Oryctolagus cuniculus: one gene and its partner. The protein of the gene in region 1 interacts with the protein of each later gene in a biochemical or structural test. Links are inferred from orthologs where the notes say so. Each region holds a gene or a part of one and is shown in the gene's direction. Other genes may lie near its edges.

Region 1 (4,571 bases):
CTGTTCTTCCTGCCCTTCAAGGCCCAGGTCACGGGTCGCTTTCTCCACTCAGCTCTCTTAAAATCCCCGCAGCCCGGATTGTCTTCTCGCTGTGTGTTCCCTTAGCGTTTTCCTACCCTGCGTGTTGGTGGGAGGCAGCTGTGGTGGGAGGAGGCCAACTCCAGCCTGATTAGTAGGAAGCTGGGCTCCAGGAGGAGCCGGGGTGGGTGACCGGGCTGTGTGTGCGGTGCAGGGAGAGGAGCTCCCACCAGCCTCGCAGCCAGGCCATCCAGGCCGATTTAATCCTTGGTCCCCATTTATGCGCATTTAGTAGACGAGACCTGCAGAAAGAAAGAAACTTAGGTACAGCGGAGGTGGGTACCCATCCCAGGTCTCCAACCGTCTCTTTCTGTTTCCTGTCACCGCACCAGGTTGCAGGAGGGAGGGGACTATTTGGAATGCAAAGAACACTTAGATTGGGAGCAGGTGGGTCTGGCCGAGGGGTGGGGAGTGGGATGGGGGGAACTGGGAAATACACCAAGGGGAGCCGGAAGGGTGCTTCTCCTAAGCCAGTGTGCCTCTAGTATGAGTGTGTGTGTGTGTGTGTGTGTGTGTGTGTGTCCTAACCCAGTGACCATGCCTCCAGTGGTGTGTATGTGTGTCCTAACCCAGTGACCATGCCTCTAGCGGTGAGGGGAAGGGGAGAAGAGACACAATCCTGGCTTCCCCAGGAGGGCTCCGTAGAGGGTGCCTAAAATGGATAAAACCCTTCTAGAAGCATGAGGGCCTGTTATCTGGACACGAGAAGGCGAGCCCTGCCTGCTTAGGAGGCAGATGGGGAGGCCGGTGCCCCTGGGGAGGGGCAGCGTTGTACAAAGTTGGGACCTTATGTTTTGCTCAGAAGAAAAAAACAAAAATGTTTCAACGTTTATTTAAAAAAACAAAAATGTTTTTGAAAAGCAGGAAAGAAAGGCCACCTTGAGTAAAGTAGAACCAGCAATCCCAGGGCTTCAGAGTCTGGCCCGCCCCTCTCTGAGCCCTGCCTGCCTCTCCTGGCACGGCTGCCCCAGCTGGTGGCCCTGGCAGGCTGCCCGGGACTGGTTCTACCCAGCCCCAGACCCAGTCACATTGTGACAGCACTGCTTGTAAGCAAGTTGCTTACCCACTGCACTCTCAGTCTGCCCCTCTATGAAATGGGCTGTCAGCAGCACACACTCTGTAAAGGATGTCCTGGTGTGTCGGTTTGCTATGTGTTCCTTCGATGTCAGCTTTCTGCTGGAAATACCAGGAGCAGAGCAGGAAGAGGGCTTGCTGAGGTCACTCGGGAGAAAAAGACTGAGCTGTGCTCCCCACAATTCCTTGGTGTGCCCATTTAGCATGCACTTAGTTAGCATCTGCTGTATGCCAAGCTCTGTGCTAAGTTTCCGCCCCGCAGCTGGGGTGCAGGGGCGGCCGCGCCCAGTCGGGTCGGATTCAGTGGGAACCCAGATGTCTCCAAGATCCCTGACAGATCCCCGCCCCGGGGGCCCGCTGGGGGCCCAGCCCTGCCCCGCGCCCTCCCTGCGGGGCGGTCCGGGCTTGGGCGGGATGGGCGGGCGGCTACTTAAGGGCTGCGATCCCAGGGCCGGGGCTGCGGGTCCTCTGCTGTCGCCGCCGCCATGGCTCCGCACCGCTCCGCGCGCGCGCTGCTCGGCGCGCTGGTCCTGGCGCTGTGCGCCCTGTCGCCGCCGGCCCTCGCGGCCACCGCATCGCAGAGGGTGGCTCCGGCACGGACGCCCCAGGCGCGGGTGAGTGCCCCGGGGGGCCCGGGGCTCCCGGAGTAACTCTCTATTGTAAGTTCTTGCAGATACAGCGCTAGGAAAAGGGGAGTAATTCAGGTCTAGAATGGAAAAACTGTTTTGTTGCTTTGTAAGTATCTCTTGCTGCTCCAGGGCTCGGCGGAGGGCGGGAGCCTGGGGGCCCTGGCTGCGTCCCTACGCGAAGGCTAACCTCACCTTGGCCGGAATTCTCCTCCCTCCCACCTTCTGATTTCTTACCCATCTCTGCCACCTGATTTCTCCTTTCCTTGCCTAAGGTCTCCTTCCCACTGCCTGTCTTCTTCCATCTCCCCCTCCTCTGATGGCTCCCGCCCTCCCCGGCATCTCCCTCTGTCTTATGTGTCCTTTGGACCATCACAGGTTCTCACCTCCCTGCAGTCTCCCTTGCTCTGTTGAGTTTCTCCTCTCCCAGTGCTGTTCCACCCCCTGCCTGAGTGCCTCTCTCTGTCTCATTCCTCTCACTTCTCACGTTTTGTTGCCCCCAGATCTCCCCGGCCGAGGTGACCCATGCCTGCTGACTGCCACCCCCAGCTCCTGCCTAACCCCGCCGGCCGCCGTCTCTAGCCCCCCCTCCCCACCCTGCATGTCTCACAGCCTCTGCCCTTCCTTGGGTACCTCGCCTTCAGCAGGCTCCTGCAGACCCCCGGGGGGATGTCAAAAAATGGAATTTGGGGGTGGGGTGTTGGGGGGCAGGAGGGAGGAGGCAGACAGCGCAGGAGGCCACTTGGGCTCAGCCGTTCAGACCCTTCCTGGGGGGTGTGAAGGGGATGGAGGGGGCACAGGAAATTGTCCCACGTGGGACAGAGGCACACAGGCTGCAGACGTTGAGCTGTCCCCTCCCCTCTTTGGGCCTCTGTGTGCCTATTTGCACAGTAGGGGTGGATAAGGAGCACTCTGAGAGCCCTTTAATCTTAAGAGCCGTGGAGGGTGCTGGAAGGGAGCAAGCTAAGCCCCTGGGGACCCTTGGGTTTACCATTGCCATTTGGGGCGGGGGGCTACCCAACAGCCCGGAGCGTGGAGAAGTCCTTGCTCTGCTGTCACCTGGCTTGGGGTCCCTGTCACAGTCCCTGCTCCTGCCTGCACCTCAGTTAACATGGCCAGTGACAGTACCAAGGGGAGGGAGAGGGAGGTAGATCCCTCTGTCCTGTCCCCCGGGAGCTGAGTGGGAGGGCCAGGAGCTTGCAAGGCACAGGGTCTGGAGCCGAACCACTGGCCCTGTTCGCTAGCTCACCAGGACAGAGGCTCCTAGGAGGCAGACTCCCCTCGGGTGTGGAAAGAGCAGTGGCTCAAGTCGGACGCTCTTGGTGCTGGAACCAGCCTCCCTCGCGCCCGGGGTCTGTCCCTGCCGAGCCGAGCCGCGGGCCCCTGCTCAGGCACTGCCTGTCTCTCTCCAGCCCAGCAGCATGGTGGTGGAACACCCCGAGTTCCTCAAGGCAGGGAAGCAGCCTGGCCTGCAGATCTGGCGCGTGGAGAAGTTCGACCTGGTGCCTGTGCCGCCCAACCTCTATGGAGACTTCTTCATGGGCGATGCCTACGTCATCCTGAAGACGGTGCAGCTACGCAATGGGAACCTGCAGTACGACCTCCACTACTGGCTGGGTGAGGCTGCCCACCCATCCAGCCCCTGCCCAGCCCCTGGCAGGGCAGCTGGCTGTGGTCTGGAGCTTGCTGCTTTTTACTTAATGTGGAAGGCAGAGAGAGACACCCAGAGACAGACAAAGAGCTTGTCTATCAGTTGGTTCATTCTCCAGATGTCCACAACGGCTGGGACTGGGCCAGGCTGCAGCCAGGAGCACGGAACTCCATCCGGGTCTCCCACATGGTTGATAGGCCCCCGAGTACCCGAGGCATCACTGCTGCCTCCCAGGGTGCACGGTAGCAGGAAGCTAGAGCCAGAAGCAGAGCCAGGACTTGAACTCAGCACTCTGCTATGGCGTGTGGGCCTCCCAACTGGCATCTTAATTGCTGTGCCAAAAGCTCGCCCCTGATTATCATCAAGCAGACCCCTCCGTGGCTCCCGTCACCCCCAAGTTTGTCCTTCAGAGTCAGGGGCTCTGCTGTGGGGTGCTTTGAGCCCTGTCACCTGGCCGAGCCTCAGTTTCCTAATCCATACTTGAGTTCGTGCTCAGGAGAGCTGAACAGGAGTGCAGAGCAATGTATCAGAGCTAGGATGACCCTTAGAGAAAAATGGGGTCCAGGTACACTTCCTCCCTCCCCTGTACCCATTATATGGAGGGGTTAACCGAGGCTCACAAGAGGCAGGGGCTTGCTGGGCTTTCCCAGCTAGCCCAGGGCAGTGCTGGAGCTTCCTCCCTGGGTGGGATGGGGGGTGCCGGGACCCCTTTCAGGAAGCCTGGCTCATGCTGCCCTGCGTCGCCTAGGCAACGAGTGCAGCCAGGACGAGAGTGGGGCGGCCGCCATCTTCACCGTGCAGCTGGATGACTACCTGAACGGCCGGGCTGTGCAGCACCGTGAGACCCAGGGCTTCGAGTCGGCCACCTTCCTTGGCTACTTCAAGTCCGGCCTCAAGTACAAGGTGCGTGGGCCCCTACTTTGCTGGGGATGGGTGCGCTGACAGCAGGGCTCACTCAGGTGCACCTGTCTTTCAGCCATGTGGGGTGATTGCAGAGGTCAGAGGTCAGCTTTGGGGTTTGAATCCTGGGCCTTTCCGAGCTGTGTGACCTTGGACACATCACACTTCTCTGAGCTCGTGGCTCCTCACATTAGAGTCAGGAGCAGAAAACTCCCTGTGGCTCCCTCAGGTGGTCCTCCTAC
Region 2 (4,293 bases), on another chromosome or scaffold:
ATTACCAAGTGAGAATTACAACTATTTGGGGAATACTTAAGCACATCAAGAAAATGAGTAATTCCACTTGGGTCTGTACCGCATTGGTAATGTGCCCCTTAAAGCATGTCACAGAATGCATCATGGATGATTGTTTATAGTTGTACTTCCTACCACAGAACTGTTCTTGTCCCCTTCCTTTCGTCAGCTCCCCTCTTCTCCCAACCTGAGACAGGCACCAACCAGATCAGCTCCATTGACCCGCCCCTCCCGTCCCACCTTACCATAAGTAGATCCAGATTCTTCTAGAAAATCTGAAAGGCATATCCCCGTATATCAGTGATATAAATAGAACCTGCTGCAGGCTCTGCTAGGTGGTGACTCTCCAAGGTGGACTGGGAGGCAGCCTGGCCTTGGCCAGCATCATCCGCTAAATATAAAGATGAGTTTGTTCCGCTTTCGCATAAGGAAAAACTAGCACTCATCCCAAGTGCAATGTCCTCGTCCTCTCTACTGGGAGGAAAGTCCAGCCCCTCACCCATCGCCACCTCCATCACCTCCAGATCTAGCCAGTCCAGCCTGTGACCCTTGTCTTTCAGCCCCAGGAGAGGGACTCACGTTGTGAGTGCCACCCAGAATTGGGAGAGGAGGTGGGAAGAGGGTGTTCAGCTCAGCCTATCCCAAGCAGGGTCTGCCAGTCCTGGAGAAAGGGAGCCATCGCACCCTCACTCTCTTCAGGAGCTGGAGAGCTGACTGTGCCGCAGCCAGGCCCACAGCTCAGGGTGCCCTGGCTTCGCTCCTGATGGTGCCAAAGCCACTGCCTAGCCTGTCCCTGGGAGCCCCCGCACCTCCTCCCCACCCCTCCTACCCCAGCCTCCCGCTGCCAGTTGTCTACCCTGCGACAGCTGCGCGCCCTCCAGCCGCCAGTCACTCTATTCGTGATGGGGGAAGGGACCGGCTTGGGTCAGCCCTCCGGACACAGGGGAGCTCCGGGATGGGGAGGGGGAAACGGAAATGGAAATGGCTGGCAGCGCTGGGCTTGCCTTGTTCCTTGCCTGGGGTGTGGGAGTGGTGTTTCCAGGCCTCCCAAGCCCACCACTACACCCTGCTCTGTCTCCCAGTAACTGCACGTTGAAGTTTGAGTCTGAGTAAAGAACTCCCCCAGCGGGGTGAAATGCTAGTATGGGAAGCCAGCGGTTAGGCACCAGCCCGTGTGTGCAGAATGGACAAGGATGGGGAATCCGTTGGGACAGGTGCAGCTCTCCGAGCACAGGCTGACACAATGCACCCACGGGCGCACGCGGTGACCCTTGCCCCACCCTACCCCTCTGGCTGACAACTGAACCCAGCAGGGAGGGGCAGCCGTGCTGGGGAGACACTCCATATACGGCTCGGCCCGCGTTACCTGGGCTCAGGCCAGCCCTTTCCTTCTATGGTCAGCACAGGACACCCCGGGCGGGGGCATAGGGCACTAACCCGCCTAGGGAGGCGGCTGTAGTGCCCAACACCCAAATATGGTTCGAGAAGGGCAGCGACATTCCTGCGGGGCGGCGCGGAGGGAGTGCCCCCGGGCTATATAAAACCTGGGCAGGGAGACACTCGGTCACTGCAGCGGACAGCGCCGAGTGAAGCCTCGCTTCCCTCCCGCGGAGACCAGGGCCTGAGCCGGAGCGCAGCAGGTGTAGCCACCCGCCCAGGTAGGGCGGGAGTGGGAGAGCGGGACGAGGGGACAGGGTACCACTGAGCGCCACCTAAAGGACTCGGGGATCATGCAGCCGGCTCACCTGTGCCCCATGCACTTGGTTCGGTCCCCAGAGGCACAGAGCTTTAAAAAGGAATCAAGCATGCCAGCGGACCTCTGGAAACTTAGCTGCATTTATTTCTAGCCCCTTCGGGCTGGTGTACCTGGCACTGTGGATGCGCCTAGGGAGCGGGCGTTAACTAGGGAGATTGACTTCACAGAGGTTAACCATGCTTTGGTTCTCTGAAGAGAGAATCACTGGAGAAGAAAGGCAGCAAGGGCCACTGCTCTCTGGGCTGGCAACAGGTGCAAGGGTTCCCCATCTTGGATGGGGCACCTGGGCAGCCAATGGGCAGACAGCTCAGTGCCCCCTCCCTAACAAATGAGGCCCCGGAGGCGCACAGTGGGTGGGCACTAGGGCCTCGCTCTTGGAGCTGGTGGCCCGCAAAGCCTCAGGGAACCCTGTGCCCCTGGGTACCAGAGCGCAGGACTTCTCAGTTTGGTCTCGCGACCCTAGGCCCCTCTCCTCTGTGCGCTATAGCATTGAGCCCAGGAGCGACTGTTGGACCGGGCCCTCTGGCCGCCGCCCTGGCGGGAGGCAGAACCCTAGAGACCCGGAATGACTTTAGGGCGCTCTGGAGGGAGGGCGTCCGGGGTACGCCGCTGCCGAGGCCCCTCGGCTGACGCTCCTGCTTCTCCGCCAACTCTTTGATGGCAGAAACCAGACACCATGTGCGACGAAGACGAGACCACCGCCCTCGTGTGCGACAATGGCTCTGGCCTGGTAAAAGCTGGCTTCGCCGGCGATGACGCCCCTAGGGCCGTGTTCCCGTCCATCGTGGGCCGCCCCCGCCACCAGGTCAGCCCGCCGCTCGGTGGAGGGAGCTGGGCTGGGATCCCGGTGCCCGCCGGAACTGCGGTAACGGGTTTGCTGTGTCTCCCACCGCGCAGGGCGTCATGGTGGGTATGGGTCAGAAAGATTCGTACGTGGGCGACGAGGCTCAGAGCAAGAGAGGTATCCTGACCCTGAAGTATCCCATCGAGCACGGCATTATCACCAACTGGGACGACATGGAGAAGATCTGGCACCACACCTTCTACAACGAGCTGCGCGTGGCCCCCGAGGAGCACCCCACTCTGCTCACCGAGGCCCCCCTGAACCCCAAGGCCAACCGCGAGAAGATGACCCAGATCATGTTCGAGACCTTCAACGTGCCGGCCATGTACGTGGCCATCCAGGCCGTGCTGTCCCTGTACGCCTCCGGCCGTACCACCGGTGAGTGCCAGACCGGTTACGCACAGCCCAGGCGCGGATGAGTCCTCTCCCCAGTCCCCGACGCCCCGCCTGGGCCCCACGTCCGTCCGCATCCAGAGCTCTGGGAGAGGGATGGGGGGTGGGAGCAGTGCTCGCCCCCAGCCTCGAGCTTCCCCGGGCCCCGCGAGGACTCGGGACAGCGGCTGCGGGGAGCGGCCGGCCGCTCACGCAGCCGCCCCAACCCGGCGCAGGCATCGTGCTGGACTCGGGAGACGGTGTCACCCACAACGTGCCCATCTATGAGGGCTACGCGCTGCCGCACGCCATCATGCGCCTGGACCTGGCTGGCCGCGACCTCACGGACTACCTGATGAAGATCCTCACTGAGCGTGGCTACTCTTTCGTGACCACAGGTGCGCGGCTCCCGGGGCACCCAGGGTCGGCGAGGCAGCGGGCGCCAGCCCCGGGGTCCCCGCGCTGAGAACTCATTCCTCTCCTCCTGCCCCTGCCCCTCGCAGCCGAGCGCGAGATCGTGCGCGACATCAAGGAGAAGCTGTGCTACGTGGCCCTGGACTTCGAGAACGAGATGGCCACGGCCGCCTCCTCCTCCTCCCTGGAGAAGAGCTACGAGCTGCCCGACGGCCAGGTGATCACCATCGGCAACGAGCGCTTCCGATGCCCCGAGACGCTCTTCCAGCCCTCCTTCATCGGTGAGCGCCGGCCGCCCGTCCCCGGGGCCCGCCCCGGCTCTCCTGGGCCCGCGCCAGGCCCCGTGGCGCTCTAGTGCGCGCTGAGCCCGCTCACTGCTGTCCCCCTCCGCGCCCCGCAGGTATGGAGTCGGCCGGCATCCATGAGACCACCTACAACAGCATCATGAAGTGCGACATCGACATCAGAAAGGACCTGTACGCCAACAACGTCATGTCGGGGGGCACCACCATGTACCCCGGGATCGCTGACCGTATGCAGAAGGAAATCACGGCTCTGGCCCCCAGCACCATGAAGATCAAGGTGGGCCGGAGCCTGGGCTCGCGGGGCGGGCGGGCTCCGGGGGGTTGGGGGTCCGCTGGGGGCCTCCACCTTACTGACGCCCGCTGTCTTGCAGATCATCGCTCCCCCCGAGCGCAAGTACTCCGTGTGGATCGGCGGCTCCATCCTGGCCTCGCTGTCCACCTTCCAGCAGATGTGGATCACCAAGCAGGAGTACGACGAGGCCGGGCCCTCCATCGTGCACCGCAAATGCTTCTAGACGCGCGAGCTGTCCCCAGGCCGACAGATCTGCGGCTCTGGCAGGTGGCTGAGCTCCGGCCGCCGGGCG

The links.
Region 2: the proteins of GSN (region 1) and ACTA1 are reported together in a solved structure, tested with the Homo sapiens proteins (3 studies listed by BioGRID and IntAct). The link is inferred for Oryctolagus cuniculus from reciprocal best matches to the Homo sapiens genes GSN and ACTA1.

Annotation. Positions count from the first base shown.
Region 1 is NC_091432.1:225,292,323-225,296,893, forward strand, and holds the start of GSN (gelsolin), read left to right. Parts: upstream 1-1,596; 5' UTR 1,597-1,637; coding exon 1,638-1,766; intron 1,767-1,816; exon of another isoform or gene 1,817-1,863; coding exon of another isoform or gene 1,864-1,887; intron 1,888-3,190; coding exon 3,191-3,395; intron 3,396-4,177; coding exon 4,178-4,332; intron 4,333-4,571. UniProt on the Homo sapiens protein: Calcium-regulated, actin-modulating protein that binds to the plus (or barbed) ends of actin monomers or filaments, preventing monomer exchange (end-blocking or capping).
Region 2 is NC_091444.1:90,180,710-90,185,002, reverse strand, and holds the start of ACTA1 (actin, alpha skeletal muscle), read left to right. Parts: upstream 1-1,348; 5' UTR 1,349-1,658; exon of another isoform or gene 1,659-1,676; intron 1,677-2,438; 5' UTR 2,439-2,450; coding exon 2,451-2,579; intron 2,580-2,671; coding exon 2,672-2,996; intron 2,997-3,226; coding exon 3,227-3,388; intron 3,389-3,493; coding exon 3,494-3,685; intron 3,686-3,804; coding exon 3,805-3,986; intron 3,987-4,080; coding exon 4,081-4,224; 3' UTR 4,225-4,293. UniProt on the Homo sapiens protein: Actins are highly conserved proteins that are involved in various types of cell motility and are ubiquitously expressed in all eukaryotic cells.